Ovis aries: one gene and its partner. The protein of the gene in region 2 interacts with the protein of the main gene of each other region in a pairwise test. Links are inferred from orthologs where the notes say so. Each region holds a gene or a part of one and is shown on either strand. Other genes may lie near its edges.

Region 1 (4,358 bases), on a different chromosome or scaffold from region 2:
AAGAGTGAAATGTTTCAGGACTTCTCACTCAATTTATTTTCTTCAACATTTTGATTACTTTCTATGTGACAGGGAAGTCTTTTTCTACTATTTTTTTTTTTTTTAAACTTTGCTCCCTTTTGGTAAACACCAAGGCTTGCCTGTCCGAATACACAACCCTTGCCCCTTTGTCTTGTAATCACTGTTTCACTTAATTCCTAGTAGACTTCGAAGCTTCATTTTACCTAGACTCTCATGCAAAGGGTTTTCTTCTCAATTTTTATCTCCCCCCCTCTATACAAGTGATTTATCATATTGCCTATACTATTCTAAATTTTCACCCGCTGCGTTTCTTGTCTGTTCTAGCCCCTGCCTCCCAGTGGAGATTCAACCTGCTAGGTCTGGGGTGGGCAAACTTGCTCTGCTAAGTTCTAGACCGTAAATGTTTTGGGTTTCGTGGGCAGCTGCTCAACTCTGCTGTTAGGAAGTGAAAGTGGCCACAGGCAATACAGAAGCAAATGAGCGTGGCTGTGTTCTAATAAACTTTACGGACATTGAAATTTGAATTTCATATAATTCCCACGTACCACAAACTCTACTTCTTTTGATTTCTTTTAATCCATCCTAAAAAAAAAAAAACATGAAAATCATTCTTAGGCTATACAGTAACAGGCAACAACGAGGGCCTCCGTCAGTCACTCTCAACTCTAAAGGAGGAAGATTGCCTCCTCCGATAGGGATCAAGACCTCACCCCTACCCCAGTGACTTCTCCCCAAAACCTGTATGGTCTCCAGAAGACCGATTCCCATTTTAAGGATTATTAGGGGGCGTGAGAGTAGTACCCCATTAGGACAACACTTTCTCCTGGGCAGGCCACTTATCAGTTTATTTAGGGTGGTAGATATCCTGACAGAGCTTGCAAGACACGGCCAGGCTCAGGCTCCAGCGCAGGAACACTCTGGAAACACCTCCAGGCCCCAGCGAGTCTGCGTGGCGGGGAGCGCGGAGTCAGGCAGGTACTACTCACCGGGCGCTAGTTCGTTCGACTGCTCCCGAGCAAAGCGGCACAGGCGATCGCTACGCGCGCGCCTGTCACTAACCCGCCGCAACCCCTGAAGCTCGTTAACCAAGAGGCGCACAGCCTCTTTCCCCGCTCCCCTTCCGGGTCAGAGGCTGCCCAGGGTAGAGAAGGCCAACCTAGGTTCCGTACCACCTGGAGCGGACGCGGCAGCAGGCTCTGGCCGGCGTTGGGCGGGGCGGGCCTCTGGCGTGCGTGGCCTCGCGCCTGCGCGCGCGATCCTGCCCTGTCCGGCCCTTTCCCGACCAGGGTGCGCGCGGCCAGGGCGGCCCCGGCGCGAGCCTGCGGCTTCCCGGTCCGGCTCCGTCTGGTTCTGCCTCCCGGCGCGCCGCCGTGCGCGCCGCCCGCGCTCCTGCCGCGGCGGAGCGGGCAGCAGGGGAGCCAATTAGCACTCGGCTAGGCGGCGGCCACTTCCTCGTCTGCGGGGCCGCGCGCCCCGGACAGCTCGGTCGGCCACGGGGCGGGGCGGGGCGGGGCACTTCGCTGAGCCGCCTTGCCTGCCTCGGTTTGTCCGGCTGCCGAGAGTAGACACCGGTCCCTGGAGGCGCACCGCTGCAAAGCAGACAAAAAGAAACTGAGGCGCTCAGAGTGTCGGCTGGAGGCACGTTTGGTTGACTTTCCGTGCGTGGTCTTCAGAATCAGCCGCTCCAGGAAGAGAGATGTCGAAGCCGCCACCCAAACCAGTCAAACCAGGTAAGGGAGGTGCTCGGGGGATCCCGGGCCGGTAGCGGTGCCCCGCGCTCCCTCTGCCCCCTTGGCAGGGCAGGTCAGGCACGTACCCGGCCCCGAGCCTCACTTTCGCGATCCACGCACCAGGGTGGGATTTGTTGCGTTCGCTCCAGGAGACAGATCGCAAGATTTTCGAGGAATTTGAAAATTTTCATTTTTAAAGAGGAGTCACCCTCGGTTTTTCAGCGTTGCCATTCGCTGCAGCTTTCCCATCGATGTGATGGCTACGTCCCATTGACGTTTTCCTGGAAAACAGGGCCATTGATCTCCCTTAGGGGGGAGAAAAAAGTCTTGAAATGGTTTTTTCTTCATCCACTTCCTCTTTTTTTTTTTTTCCTTCACTGTGTGTCACTGTCAAGTTTGAGTTCTTGACCGGCCAAAGCGAACGGGAAGTGCGCTGCTTATAGGGTGGGGTGGGTGAGCGAGTCTCCTTTGGGACTTTAGAGAGGAGCAGCAAATTGACCTTAAGATCTTGGGAAAAGCGTTTAGGAAACTGTAGTTGAGCTCCTGACTAGAAAAATCTAGGCTGCGGCAGCGTAATCTCAGTTATTTCTATTCGGAAATGTCACTTTATAGTGCTGAACAAGTCCTTTGCTTTACTCCCTCTGTGAGTTTGTCGAGTTAAACTGGAAAGGGTGAGATTTCCTCAAAGCAGGTCTTTTGGCGAATGTTCCTTGTTCATTTCTTCTTCGATCCCTAGAATATTTTCTGGGACAGGGAGAAAGAATTTAAAAGGGACTGAGGCATTTCAGTTCGATACTGTAAGAAACTCATACCTTCATTGGGTAGGTGATTACAGAAAACGTAGAAAATGGACGAGAAATGGCTCTGACATACTCTCAGCTTTTTTCTTCCTGGTCTTAGGTAACTTCAGTATGTTACAGGCTGAAATCTGAAATCTGAAATCTATTTACATCCAGTTTCAAAGTAACCTTGATTGAGAGAGTCGTTTCAGTGATTGATTTTTTTCTTGATTTTTCTAAACTTTAGTCAAGCTGTTCAACTTTCATCCAGTTCTCTTTCTTCACCATCATGCAGTGGTAGTTCCAAGTCATTTTATTTGAAAATTCTGTACACACTCGCATATGTGACATAGTCAGTCACCCAGAACCTGAATTTTGGTGGACTGGGGTGTGACTTTGCTGGGACTTTGGCTCTGGTGTTTGCGAAGGTGGGACATGGCTAGGATTGGGCTCTGTGTTTCTTTAGAAATGGAGTCTGATGAGGAATTTGCCTTCTAAGTGCCTTTGTGGAAAATGGCAGCTTTTAAAACTTAAGTATAAATCAGGACCTCAAGTAATCAACACAACAGAGTTATTCTTTGATAACTGAACAGAGTACTTTATTTCAGAGAAGGTCCTGAGAAGCCATTCATGAGGTTTTTCATCTCTAGACATTCGGTGATGTCTGTGCTACAGCTGGAGGGGCACGGATGTGATATGTTTTTGTGTATTTGCCTGGGTGTAGGGATCACACTGTGACCAGTTGGAAATACACTCTCAGGAACCATTTTTGTTGTCTGACCTTCCTGCTTTCTCCTTCTATTCAGTAAATCAGAAAGCAAATGGTTAAAAAATGACTACTATTCAGACTCCACATTGATTTGTAAATGAGATCCAAACTAAAATAAGATCACCCTAGAAATAATCTGTCAGTGACCTATTTACAGTGAGAAATATTACTTTTAATCCAACTTGAAACTTTGTGTGGCCTGGCTTAGTTGAAAACAGAAGGGGACTATTATAGTCCTGGCTCTCGTTTACAGTGTGCCAGGCACTGATCTAAGCACGTTCCGTGTATTATCTCATTTACCTCTCACAATAACCCTATGAGGTCAGTACCTGCATTGTTCCCATTTCACAGATGCGGAAATGAAGCTAAGTCAAGAAAGGTCAAGTTAAGGTGCCCAAGATTAGCCACTGAGTGGAGAGGAGTGGGCAGAATTAGAACCCAGGCAGTTTGGCCCCAGAGTCTGAGCTCTTAACTGTGATGTTACTGTGCTTTACATCAAAGCCTACCATTAACTCCTGTCATCATGTGTACTTCCTGGTAGGCAGGAAGTGGGAAGGAGAGTGTCTCTGGTCCTCAGTCAGACTTTCTTGTCCTGTAGGCAAGATAGATGGGTGAAAATGTCAAAAGCAAACTTGGAATTGGAAGGCAGGGTGTATTTAATTCTTAGCTTCTTGGTTTGTTTGCACCCCTGCCTCATCCTGAATGAGACTTGATTAAAAAAAAAAAGATGCAGGAAGTGGGGTCCTATAGAAGGAGGGAAGAATAACAAGAGGAAACTGGAGAGAAAGTTATCTTACAGACATGCATGTTGTAAGAACTTGCAAAGTTTCTAAAGAAGGCCTGTAGATTTGGCTCTTTGCTTCAAGCAGAGAGAGAGAACAGATCAATTACTAAGATTCTCAGTGTTCATAAAATTAAAATGTATTACTTGCTCTGAGAAGAGTTATTACAGTGGTAGTGAGATCTGAAATGAACTTCTCATGGGTGGGTTCTCTTTAAGTATTGCCGTGAACTGGACATCTCTACAAGAAACACAAGTGGGACATCATAATGCTAGTC
Region 2 (3,560 bases):
ATTGATTTTCTGTCACTCAGAGTGAAATCCCAATCCCCAGATGTACTCTGGTTCTGGTTTTCTTTCTAAGGGTAGAAGTGTATCTCAGCTCCATTGGGGCTGTCGTGTGATTCTTTAGCTCTTTTTTTCTGTGCCACCACCTTTGAACACCCTCTTCCCTTTCCCTCGAAATGCCTGCCTTTCTTCCTTCCTCCTCCTAACTCCCCACCCAGTATTTCAGTAACTTTTGTTTTCCTTGACATAGGATAGGCTTTCCTGACTCTTTTGCTCTTATTATCATTTTATGCAGAATTTTGTTAGCATAAACAAAATTTTTTTTATTCCCTCCTCTATAGTCTAATAATTCGTGTTGTTTGCCACATTGTTCTGTAAGATCCTTGAAAGTAGCAGTTGTTATACTGTCATGGTACCACTATAAATTACTGCTTTCAATAAAGCATCTAGAATAAGAATAAACCATTTATTGAATATTTGTTATATGCCTGACACTTGGTAAGAAACATGTTATCCCTGATCTTCACAACACCCTATGTGATAGGTGTTATTGTTATTATGTCCATTTTATAGAGGAGGAAACTTAAGAGATATTTCCAGTGTCTTCAATGTTAGGAAGTGGCTGAGTTGGACTCAAAAGGCCTCTTCCCCATACTGCACTGATACGACCCACTGTGTTACCCTTTCTGAAGATTTGCTTGCATCCTAACAAGAGGATAAGCCTTTAGTTAAATAAATGGATATCTAACTGTGGGAATTTAGAAATCACTAAACCGATCGAGGCAGGGGTTTTTTTGGGGGTTGTGGTTTTTGATTTGGGGTTTTTTCATGGAAGACATCTTTATACCCCCGAAATAAAGATGCATTGCTAATATCCTACTTGTAAGCACACTGGTGTGCTTTATTTAACTGTCATTTCAATGATTTGGATAATAAGAGGGGATAAAGGTGCATATGTTTTAGACAACTTTATTGGCATATAACTAATGTACACTGTTTATAGAGTATGCAATTTGATAACTTTTGACATATTTATACAATTTTGAGATCAACACAGTCAAGTAATTAACATGTCTATTGTCCTCCAAAGTTCCTCATCCACTCCACATCCCTATGCTTAGGCAACCAGTGATCGGCTTTCTTTCATTATAGATTAGTTTACATATTCTAGAGTTTTATATAAATGGAATCATAACACATAAAATTATGTGCACTTTTGATTTGACTTCTTTCACTGAACATATTTACATATTTATCCACATTGTTGGGTATGTCAGTAGTTCATTCTAAAGGTATATTTTGAATTACATTCATTACAGAAAGTAAATAATTATTTTCCTCTATAGTGTCTTATACTTTAGAGGGATTGATTGAAAATTCTTTTGAACCTAAGTCCCTTCTGGAAGTTGTTTTGATGTACTATGTGTAAGTCCTGAAGAGTCCAATGGAGATATTAGAAAAATTTAACATTTCCTTCTGCATTTTTATTTTCAATGAACAGTCTTAGTACACTTAAGATAAGCCTAATGTAAAATCAAGCAAAATCACTTTTGGAATATAATATTGTACTTCTGAAGACTAGCTTCTTGACACTTCTTGGAGAATTTTGGGGGAAAACCCTTCTGTTTGGTCTCATGTAAGTGGGTATCTCTGAAGTGGTTATCACAGAACTTCATGGTAGCATTAGTTATAGATATTAAACGATAAAGTGCTAGCCAGTAAATATGATTTGAATGACTTGTGTTTACACAGTAAGGGATTGCAGTTTGAATGAGAGAGGAGTGTCTTCAACACCCAGTCTTGGATAATTGCATTTCAACCTTGTTATTTAGTAGAGAGGGAACATTTTTTAGACTACTGTTTTCTAAAAAGCAAAATGGTTAAAATCCATTATTATTTTGATTGTAATTTCACTCTTCCCCCTTTTAAAATTTCCAGGTGGGGTTAACACACGTATAGAGATAATTGAGCAACCCAGGCAAAGGGGAATGCGTTTTAGATACAAATGTGAAGGGCGATCAGCAGGCAGCATTCCAGGGGAGCACAGCACAGACAACAACAGAACATACCCATCCATCCAGGTAATAGAATGCTCCTGTGTGTGTGTATGCCTCTTAGTTGCTTCATACTTTAGCTACAGCAATTATTTAAAGATCCAGCTTCTTCACAGTGATCTCCACCAGCTTTTCTTTTCTTTTTTTTCCCTCTTTTTTCTTTTTAATTAATCCCTAGTGGAGAGCGTGCTTGGGACATTTCTTAAGTACAGTGTGGACTCTTCATTCCAGCAGATAGTTATACTTGTGTGTTACTCTAAGTGATATCCAGTGGTTAGTGTACATTGGCAGCTTTTGGATGATTATCCCTTTCATGGGACAAAAAGCTAATGAGGAAAAAGCTTTCTCTCCTTCCAGAGGCGGGCAGAATTGTTCTGGAGTTTAAAAACATGTATTTGGGAACTGACTTAGAATTCTTCCTGCAGTCAGTTGGCTAATCTAGGGGCTATGGATAAAGAAAACATTTTTGTCTTTTTTTTCCTTATCTTTATTGCTTGTCCCTGATACTCTGGGTTGCCTTGACTGATTTGAAATATTGTCACTTTTTAAATACAGTGTTTTCATGTTAGCATAAAATTTGAAAGTAATTTTGTAATCTAGAATGACTTTGGTAATATACTGTATTTATAAACTATGCTATGTTTATATTTGTATATAAATTTTCTTCCATTTTTAATGATTTTTTATTCTTTAAATGACAGTTTAAAACCTTAATGGCAGAGGGCATTTTGAAAAGCATTATTTAATGTTTTATCAGTAGATTTTAAGCTACTGTTTTATAACTACATTATTTACAAAATTTACTCTATTGGACTTTAAGAAAATGCTAAGTTATATAACAAACCAGTAGCAAAATTACATATTGAATTCCAAATTCCAATCTTTTATCACATTTTTTGTTAGCAATGTAGATTTGAGTTAAATCTAAGTCTTTTTTTTTAATATTAAAATGGGAGAGATGTTACTGAAAAGTAAATAAGAAAATAGTAATCCTTTCCTATAAGAGCAATTTTAAACTCTTCTCCATAATTCAGCTTATTCTATATAGTCTCTTAAATATTTCTATGATCTGTATCCTTGCCATAACAACATGTTCTGAACAGCTTTGCAGCTTGAGTTCTACATTAGCCTACCTTTCACTTTTTTTTTTTTTTTTTTTTTAGCTGCAGTACACTGCTTCCAGGATCTTAGTTCCCCAACCATGGATCAAATCTGTGCCCCTTGCAGTGGAAGCTCAGAATCCTAACCACCAGACTGCCAGGGAATTTCCAACCTTATACTCTTAAATTTTTACTTTCTCTTTTATTCAGAAAGGCAATAAATACTTTCTGATTACTGTTCAAATTAAGTTTAAATTCAGAGTTCAGGATTTTAATGCCCTTTTACCTGTGAAGCCACCCATTTTTACTTAACTGCCTTGCTCCCTTGTATGCTGTTTTTTAAATGTTTCCTGCTTTGTGCTTACAAATTTGCTAGCTTCCAAAGTAAATACTAACTCCTTCCCACAAGCTC

The links.
Region 1: the proteins of REL (region 2) and OSTF1 interact in binary tests that used the Homo sapiens proteins (3 or more experiments, as listed by UniProt). The two-hybrid records come from large-scale screens. The link is inferred for Ovis aries from reciprocal best matches to the Homo sapiens genes REL and OSTF1.

What each region holds. Positions count from the first base shown.
Region 1 is NC_056055.1:61,718,031-61,722,388, reverse strand, and holds the start of OSTF1 (osteoclast-stimulating factor 1), read left to right. Parts: upstream 1-1,530; 5' UTR 1,531-1,717; coding exon 1,718-1,751; intron 1,752-4,358.
Region 2 is NC_056056.1:63,118,480-63,122,039, reverse strand, and holds part of REL (proto-oncogene c-Rel), read left to right. Parts: intron 1-1,932; coding exon 1,933-2,075; intron 2,076-3,560. UniProt on the Homo sapiens protein: Proto-oncogene that may play a role in differentiation and lymphopoiesis.